2 linked regions of the Drosophila melanogaster genome follow. The protein of the gene in region 1 interacts with the protein of each later gene in a pairwise test. Each region holds a gene or a part of one and is shown on either strand. Other genes may lie near its edges.

What was found. The genes of interacting proteins can lie anywhere in the genome.
Region 2: the proteins of Dpm3 (region 1) and to interact in a two-hybrid assay, tested with the Drosophila melanogaster proteins (one large-scale study listed by BioGRID).

The regions. Positions count from the first base shown.
Region 1 is NT_033777.3:13,401,377-13,405,732, forward strand, and holds Dpm3 (Dolichyl-phosphate mannosyltransferase subunit 3), read right to left. Parts: upstream 1,676-4,356; 5' UTR 1,613-1,675; coding exon 1,463-1,612; intron 1,395-1,462; coding exon 1,260-1,394; 3' UTR 1,183-1,259; downstream 1-1,182. Other genes in the region: GILT1 (Gamma-interferon-inducible lysosomal thiol reductase 1), read right to left, coding at 303-374; yellow-e3, read right to left, coding at 2,072-2,559, 2,625-3,018, 3,083-3,430; yellow-e2, read right to left, coding at 3,931-4,356.
Region 2 is NT_033777.3:25,237,791-25,242,853, reverse strand, and holds to (takeout), read right to left. Parts: upstream 2,675-5,063; 5' UTR 2,665-2,674; coding exon 2,604-2,664; intron 2,489-2,603; coding exon 2,248-2,488; intron 2,181-2,247; coding exon 2,041-2,180; intron 1,987-2,040; coding exon 1,679-1,986; 3' UTR 1,186-1,678; downstream 1-1,185. Other genes in the region: CG11854 (uncharacterized protein), read right to left, coding at 1-144, 207-346, 413-650, 727-796; Jhbp7 (juvenile hormone binding protein 7), read right to left, coding at 4,152-4,353, 4,409-4,654, 4,780-5,017.

The sequences.
Region 1 (4,356 bases):
CACGGTGGCGGCATTTTCCGATCCGACGACTACGACGTGTGGCACAGTTCGTTAAACTCTCGAAATGCCACTTGTTGCTGCCACGAAAAGGGTGCAGCTCTTTTATGGATTTTTTTATTTTGCATTTTTGTATTCCTATACCCCCACTATTTAGTTATTCGACTTAATCACGTCTTCACCTAAATGGTAAAAGCAATTCGGAGTGCCCCTGACACGCTTGGCTGTTGTGTAATGGCTTAGTTGGCCCCGTTGGCTGATTTTTCGCTAGTTTGGCGAAGGGTTTTTCCGAGCCGGAAACTCACCTTAGCGGCACTATAAGCCGTGGCAATCAGGCAGCTCATCAAGAGGCACACAGCGGCGATTTTGTGACTCATCTTCAGGCTTCTCGTTCTTCAGAATTTCTTATAAATGCAGTTATATAGCCAGCACGTAACGAACGGCGGTCGTGTTGTTAGCGGTTCGGTGGCTGAGCGCGAACTGTTGATTGTTGTAGAGAGCTTGACGCTTAAACCGCCGTTCCAGTTCCAGTCGGCCATTAGAAAGCCGATTTCCAGACTGCCCAACCATGAGTAAATAAATGTACTATCTTTTTTATCATCAACTATGTATTATCTTCTTGAAATTTATTTCTATTTTCAAACTATTGTCCGCCATTAAAAAAAAAATTACACAAATTAACTTCAAATGGCTATTAATCGGTTTATATTGGATCTTTTGAGTATCACAACATTCAGCTTCGCAATTATAACTCCTTCCAGTATTTTGCAGAAGAGAAAATTAAAGTTTTGAAACAGTATATTTTTTTCTCTTTCGCATTGTAATTAAGAGAATTTTAAAAAAATTGATTTATTGGAAATAGATAGCCAAAGCATGGATTTGCAATATATGGTTCGCACTTACGAGTTTTCCATATACCATGTTCATTAAGTAAAAATATGTTTTCCGTAAAGAATATTATTAATCTCTTTAAACGTATTTTACCTCATATACTTTTTTAGTTTTCTTATATTTTTTATTTTGAGTAATTCACAGGGGAGCTAAGCCAATTAAACATAAACATATTCCATACTTTTTCAAGCATATCCTTTCAAAACCTCAACATAATTTGGCCACCAAACTTCCGACACCTGGGGAAATCAGCCCCCAACAACGCGTCCGCCCACACAAAATGCGGTCTAGAGTAAATTTGCGTAATTTTTGTTTTTATAAATAATGGAATTACAGATTAACATGCACAAGTCCTACGAGCTGGAAGTCTCCTAATCTCGAAACCGAAATCCCTTGGCTATCAAATCCTTGCGAGCCTCCTGAATTTCATCCTGCAGCTCCTTGGCGGCCTCGGGACAATCGTTAAAAGTCAGAGTTCTATATAGAACAGTCCAAACGGAATATATCTGTGGGTAATATATAGTAGTAGTCAATAAGAGGTGTTATCTGCATTGATTCATATCCAAAAACTCACTCCAAAAATCACGAGGAGCAAAAGTGGTAAAAGCTGAATGTGCAGGAAATACTTGGTAGTTAGTGGCGTTTGCACTGTTCCCAAAACAACGGAGAGATAGGGAATCGCAAAGAGCGATGCGTAAAATAGCCAGCGTTGTAGATTTGTCATAGCTAACGAAATTTATTGGTAAACAAAACTAAACCGAAAATAAAGTTCTACACGTAAACATAGAGCTGGAACTTAAGCCGATGGTCACCCGGTAATTCGATATCGATATTTACCGGCTACTATCGATAGGAGGTTTACCTATTCAAATCTAGTTAGAGGTTTTCCTATTCATGTCTAGTTGGAGATTTTCTAATTAGTAATTCGTAGCCTGACGGCTTCCAGTTAGACATTGTTTACTTTTCTAATTGGCTAACTTAAGTGTGACCAAGCCCTAAGCACGTGCCATAGCACAAAGCTATCCACAGTCAGCAAATCAAATGCCATACTACTCAGCTAAACACAGTCAGCAATTTATCGATAGATCAAAGTTGCGCCATAACAGCCAGCCTTCTACAGCCAGCAATTTAAATCAGAGTAATCGATTGACGCAGTTTCAAACTTGTTAAAACTAAGTTTTAATTAAACGTTGGTGGGCGTGGTTTCTGCGGCGCCCACTGTACACGGCGTGTTGGCAAGCAGGTCAGCGGTTCGGCAGCCAATTATTTGGAACTTGACCTCGTTCGCGGGCAAGTCGCCGCCAACAAAGAGTTTCGGCTGGCTGCTCAAGGCCCACAGCTCCTCCTCTCCCTTGGAATTCCTGTTGATCTTGAGGCCCGTGACGAACTTGATCTTGTGCGGATTGTAGGCCACCACACGCAGGTCATCCGCCGTGTAGTTGGACACGGACTCCTCCCATTTCACCAGCGCCCCTAAACTGATGAGGCTGCAGTAGAGATTCCCCGACTGATCCATCACCTCCGATTCGCACTGGATTCCTCGGGTGCCCAGGCTGTGGAAGCTATCCCTGCTGGCATTCGCAGACTTCCAGAAGGTCTCGTTGTTGATCAGGGAGAGCGGAACCCTCATCTCATTAAAGGAGTTCAGCGTGTGAAAGTACAGAAAGCGGTCTGTAAATTTGCATTGGAAATTATAAATAATTTTTGAGTATTTAGAATTTAAATTGAATAGCTACCTTCCACTTCGCTGGGACTGAGGCTCACTGTAAATATTCCCGCCTGCGAGTTGCTGGAGCGTCCTAATCTCAGCAAGGGCGACGGCTTCATGGACTCATGCTCTATGCGCCAGGATCGTCCCGTCAGGGAGTCAAACACGATTAGACCATAACCCCAGGCATCGGCTATATACGCTCTGCCGCCAACACATCGGTTGGGTGTGCCCCTCTCGGCCAGATCCACCACCAAAGCCGTGAAGATGGATACGCTGGGAATGTAGGAATCGGGCGGAAGTGCGTGTCGTTGGACTAGTTCGTCCTTCACCAAATCAAATGTGAGAATTTGTGGCGGGCACAACTGCAGGGAGTTTACCTGCCCTGAATCCACCACCCAGAGTCGCCAGCACTCGTCGATCTGGGAGAAAACGATAAATATTCATGAAATATCTTCTGTTGGGAAAATATGCTTTATTACTTACATAAGTCCTAATGGCTGAGGTGATGCCGGAGCAATTGTTGGGTGGCACGTGCCACTCCTCGTTGGGATACGGTTCCAGTCTGGGATTCTCCACCAGCTCATTGTGCTCCGCAATGACGGTGGCCAGTGTGAAGGGTGTGGCCATCCCCAGTCGCGGAATCGTGAGAAAGGTGCGATGCCTGCCCTCATCGCCGTACTCAATGTCCACATCCACCGGCAGAAAGCGATTGCCCTTGGACAGATCGTCGCCCAAACTGAGGTTCGTCCACTGATGCAGGGTGTGCAGCTCCTTGAGGACCAATGCCTGGCCCTGGACTGCACAAAATAATGCGAGCAGGACGACCAACATGGCTATCAAATGAGAACCTGCTAAGTGACAGTTCCGCGCGGTTCAAACGATTGCCGAAGACTAAAGATGTGCAGGTAGGCCCTAAAGTTCTTAGCCTTCAATCTCAAAGTGCACTCAGAGAAACTTAAGCTATGTGGTAATAGAACAAATGTTGCAATACATTTAAGTCCTATCATTGCTAAATCCAAAGATAAGAATCTTTATTTAATGATTTATTACTTATAATTTTATAAATGCGAATGAATGTAAAAATTTAACACGACCTCAGCACTTATTAAGTGAAAAGAATAAGAAAGCTGATAAAGAGTGTTTGGCATTTTGGTATTTATTTTTGCGAGTGTAACATGGACCATCAAACCCAAAGACAAAGGTCGTGTACCTGTGGCGGTCAAGCAAACACTTTCGAATCGTCCCAAGATTTATAGATGGACATCTTTTATGTCGGCTTTAAAAGTATTTACACAGATCTCGAGGGTGTCTGGGCATTAGGAATTGGGCACCTAAAAGCAGCCCCGCCCCTGCAACAGGTCATCAACATCGCACCGCATCACCCGATAATTGATTTCCCTGTAGTCAATGGTTCCGGCGAATATCTTCTGCAGTCGATCGGAGAGCAGCCACAGTTCCTCCCGTCCATCAGCAGGTCTGCGGACAATCTTCATGCCACTCACAAATTGCAGCGTAGCCGGATTAATAGCAAGTAGCTTGACATTTTCGCGATTGTAGGGCCTTCGTATGTCCCAGCCGAAAATTCCGATTGGCTCCAGGAAGCCACAGAACAGGAATCCTTGTCTGCTTATCGCATGCGAGGCACACTGAATCCCTCTCTTACCCAAGACAGTGAATTCCGACAGGGAGGAGCTCAGACCCTTTTGCCAATTCGTGGCATTATTTAGGATATCCAAAGGAATGGCCAGCTCCAGTTC
Region 2 (5,063 bases), about 12 Mb from region 1:
TCTGGCCGTTGAACAGATTTTCCAGCTGGTAGGTCACATGGGATGGATCCAGCTCAACCTTTATGTTCATCACCTCGGCGTAGGTTTGATGATCGCCCTTGGAGACGCGCTTCAATTTGATCTGTGCACGTACCTTTGTTCTAGCTGCGAATTCCAGAAACACATTAAAAATTTTAGATTTCAAAGCTGTGGGAGGCAAATCTTACTGAGGCGTATGTCAGCAATGCCATTTCCGGTGATGGGCAGAATGAGTATTCTTCCGTCCACCGAGTAGGGTCCTCTGACTCCTATTTCTGGAACTTCCATGACCAGCTCGATGGAGCGGCTGAGATCCCTTGTGAATCCGCTAAAATCCGAAACAGAAAAATGTAGTAAGCAGAGCGATCATAAAATGAAATGAGGATCCACTCACCTCACTCGCTTCGCAACTCCCTGATGCAGACCCAAGATGTCCATCTCGTGGAAGCTGAGATCGATGTTGACCGGACTGTGCGGATTGCGTCCGATTTTGAACTTCTTGACGTGCAGCGGATCGAGGGGGATCAAGCCCAGCTCCTTGATACCGCTTTTGGCGTAGTTCCTGAGCACGAAGTTCACCCTGTCCTCCAGGCACTGCTCGTCCATTATGGCGCACCTCTCGATGCCCGAGGCTGTAAATTGGGGCGTGGCGATTGTGAAATATACATAAACATTATATATTACGGAAAGGGGGTGTGTGCAACTCACGGAAATCGGAGGCGTGTCCGTAGGTGGACGCACATCCGAACAGCAGGACGAGGGCGAGAGTTAGCTCCATAATTGCTGGCGGCGAACGTAATCGAGTACTGATCCATTAGCCGCGGGCGTTAACACTTATATAGTCACTTTCGTCAATTGAAATGTATCATGTTTTTGTTGCCGTAAACCGCTTTTGCGTTTCAGCCGCACAGAATTTGACTTTAGACCGTTTGGCAGTTGAGTCAGTTAAATGGATTATAAACCGAAACCGGCAGGCTGGCTGTATGGCAAAGTGGCTGGTTATAGCCGGCGAATTCATTTTACGATTCCCTTTAATGAACTCCCAAGTTCCCAACTCCCAAGCCAGACATCGACCCCGTCCCATTCAATCGCTCCTAATCGCGTTTTGGGTGCAATTTGCTCGATATATGCAAATTGGATCGGCCTTCCCCAAAACGCACATTAATTCCCGTTTCAACGTCTAATTAATGGCTAAGTCAACAAAGATTGTTTATCAAGCTTTTTTTTAATGTAACTGCCTTTTCCAGTTACAGATATTCCCTGCCTTTCGGAATCTCCGCGCGCGAATAACACATACTTTCAGGCGGTCCTTCATCTTTTGGATCAACCTGATCTATAGGGTTCCACTCACTGTAACTTAATTAATAATGGGTCATAGTTTTAAATGTTTTTATGGTATTTTACAGAATTCTTTGTATCACTTATAAATAATTTACAATGTGCTAACTACATATATGTAACTTTTATTGCCACACAACACTTACAGATTATTTAGCTGAGATGGCTTAATAGTAGTTACTTGTGTTCTCACTTTCAAACGCGAAACACGAACTCCATTAAACCTAATGATGATTGCTAGCCTCAAAACTTAGATCTGTCAGTACGCAAACAACATGATCTAGTATCTTTATGTGGACTCTGCCCACTTTGAAGAGCTAACTCACGATTCATCCGCAAAAAACTTGGCATACGGCAGTTTGGAGAACACACCTTTGACGACGCCCAGGTAAAGTTTGCCAAAGGATCGGTCGATTGCTTTGGCCGTCTCCTTGTAAATGGCCTCCGAGTTTTCGTTGAGGAAGACATTCATGTTGTCACCCAGCGCCTTGTCCCCATTGAACAGATTACTGAAATGGTAGTGGCTGGACTCCGGCTTCATCGTTATTTTCAGATCGGTAACGTCCAGGTAGGTCTCCCCATTCTTCACCAGCGGTTTGCCCGAGAAGCTGACGATTGCCCTGACGTTAACTGGACAGGATTTTTAGTTCCTCGAAATCTGAAAAATCAATTGGCATAGCTTACCCATTGTCATGTTACTCTGTCCAGTTCCGCTGATCGGTAGAATGAGTACCTTGCCCTGGATGTTATAGGGTCCAACGAGTGAGAAGGTTTTCGTGACAATTTTCACTTCGTGCTTGGCGGTGAGATCCCTTCCGAAACCCCTGCAAAGATCAAGGCAAGTTGAATCACATCCTTCTCATCCAAACAAAGTGTTGTTCCTGCACCCACTTTACTTTGACGATCCTTTGGTCCTTGATCCCATACAACAGATTGTCGGTGAAGGTTAGAGTTATGCCCACGGGACTGGAGCTCTCACCCTGGCTAATAACCATCCGATCCACCTTCAACGGATCCAGCTGCATCAGGTTCAGACCAGGATCCCCCTCCGCCGAGTTTTCGCTGAACAGGGTGTTGCACAGCTTCATGATACATTCGCCATCACCATACTTACAAGGTTTTGGATCTTCGGCTGTGAGGAACACAAAGGATTATTTTGGAACCGAAAAGTAGAGGTAGGTGTCTATCTAGGTTTCCCAGATTATTACTTCATTGGCAAGGTCTTGTTTTAAAGGACTTTCTCTTACGGAATTTGGCATCCACCGAGACCAAAAGGCACAAAACCACTGCGAATGCGATTGCGAACATGCTAACACGTCTATAACTTTAAGTTACTGAATACGAACGGGATTTTCGCCTAGTATTTATAGTGGTCCACTAAGTGCAACTCAAATAACGTCTAATGGCAACCTTTGATATAGCTCTTATCTGTGCCGTAACCGTCTGTCTGTCAATTCCAGAGCTCGTTTCAGAATCATCAACTAATAACGAATAGCAACTGAATCATCTGATGGTATTAGGTAAGAAAACGTTGTTCTAATTTCAATACAAGCCTTAGTTTATCACCTCATTTGGGTGCACTTTAGACAGCAAGTAGATCATGTAGCAAATCTTCTTATTCACCTTAATCTTCATCAATCAGTTACATCGAAAATCCGCTCAATGAATTTAAGTATCAGACAGATTATGTCCAATTAAAAGTCATGGTATTAAGTTCTCCCTTAACAAAGTTAACTGGCAAGTGTGCAACTCACAAAAGGGCCAGTTCCAAATATAGCCGAATTGAGATGCGAAAACAACGCAGTCATCGTGACCACCAGTTCTTTAGTTGGCTTTAGTTCTTGCGAATCGAAGTGAAGGGCAGTGGAGGAGTAGCGGTGGAGTAGTAGCTCGGAACAGGTCCTAGACTTTGGGTTAACTTAATGACCAAGTGTCCCGCTTTAAAGTCCAGCCCCCGTGGAGAACAAAAGCAACTTGTTTCGCTCGGAATCGCTGCAGTTGATTGCTCGCTCGTGGAAGATTTTCACTGACCCAAGGCCAACTGGGTGTCCGATTCCCTGGGATCGGGATGGCAGCTATACCGTTGGCTACTCTTGAACTTGGACAGTGAAATGAGTTCGCAATGAGTGACAGCACAGTTGTGTTCAGATTAATAGCACTGCCATTTAGTTAGTTCTTGATTCTAAGACAAGCAGATCTTAGTCATATATCATATCATCATATCATATACTAATTTTAGTGCACTTTGGGCTAAATTAGTTGCACAGGATGTAGGAGTAGTAGTAGGAGCATGCATCTTCGTCTTTTTTAAGACACAAAGTATTTGCTCATAATAATTAAGGTGTTTATTTCAATTTGTTGGATGTTTTAATACTTTAAGCGTATGTATAACTACGCTTTTATCCACAAGTATAGTCACCTTAGCAATAATGCCTTTGTCATGCAAATTTCGAATCAATCGTTCCATCACGTGAGCTGCCTGTTGATTGCTGATTGCTGGCCAAAAATGAAACAAAAAGTGTATGCGACACTTGTGCGGAAATAGTGAGATCCACGTTTTAGCTAACAATGGCCCCCCGCAGAAGCAGAACCAGTTTTTTTTCGAATGTTTTTGTTTATTCTACAAGTTAAAGCTTAGCTTAGCAGATACGATGATACGATGATGATGTGTCAATGGCCGGAATGCCGGAATGCAACGCCCCATGTGAGTGAGAATAGCTTGGATAGGTGAGGAAATACTCGTACACTTAGCCTAAAGTCCTAGGGCGCCTGATGGCGACTAGGACGACTAGTGCTCAGTTCTCGAGGAATAAATCCTCGTAGGCGAAGCGCTTGAAGAGCTGCGAGAGAACGCTCTTCATGATCTCGGCGATGGCCACATGAATGGAGGGATGCAGCTCGTTCCACACCTCCGTCCAGTTGTCGTTGAGGAACTGATTCAGATTGGTGCCCAATGCCTGGTCGCCATTAAAGAGGTTCTCCAGCCGAATGTTCATCCTGTGGGAACACAAATATGTTAGTATATCTCAGCTAAAATCCGAACTGCACCTACTTTTGTGGCTCCACCAGAACCTTGAGCTTATCCACGCTCAGGTAGGTGCGTCCATTGCGCTGCTGTGTGCCCGGCTTGAATTTCACCGAAAACTTGGGATTGTGCAACACGATCTCGGCATCGCCATCGCCACGAATCGGCAGGATCAGGATGCGTCCATCCGCCACGTACTTGCCCTTCAGCACGATCTTGGGAAAGGATCCGTACATCTCAAACTTGCTGGTTGCAGGATCAGCGCCAAAGCCACTGAAAAATACGATTATGATGGATAAGTGCAATCAACTTAATATATCTTCTTCTGTTAATAAACATGAGAACTTCTTCACTTTTGCTTAAGAAGGAAATCACTTTTCATTTCACTTGCTACTTACACGGCTCTGTCGAACTTCACACTGGACAGGCCCTCCACATTCACGTCCCTGAAGTTGAGCTTTAGATTCAGGGAGCCAGTGCGTCCGTCGGAGATGTCGAAGCGCTTGATCAGGAAGGGCTCCACCTGGGGGAATCCAGCGGACGGATAGCCGGTCCTCGCGTGCTGTCTGATCAGCATGTGCGACACGTTGATGATGCAGCTGGTGTCGCCCATGTGGCAGCGCGGCAGTTCGGGAGCTGCAAGGATAAGCTGGCGATTAGCGAAGCACTGGGATTGTTGGCC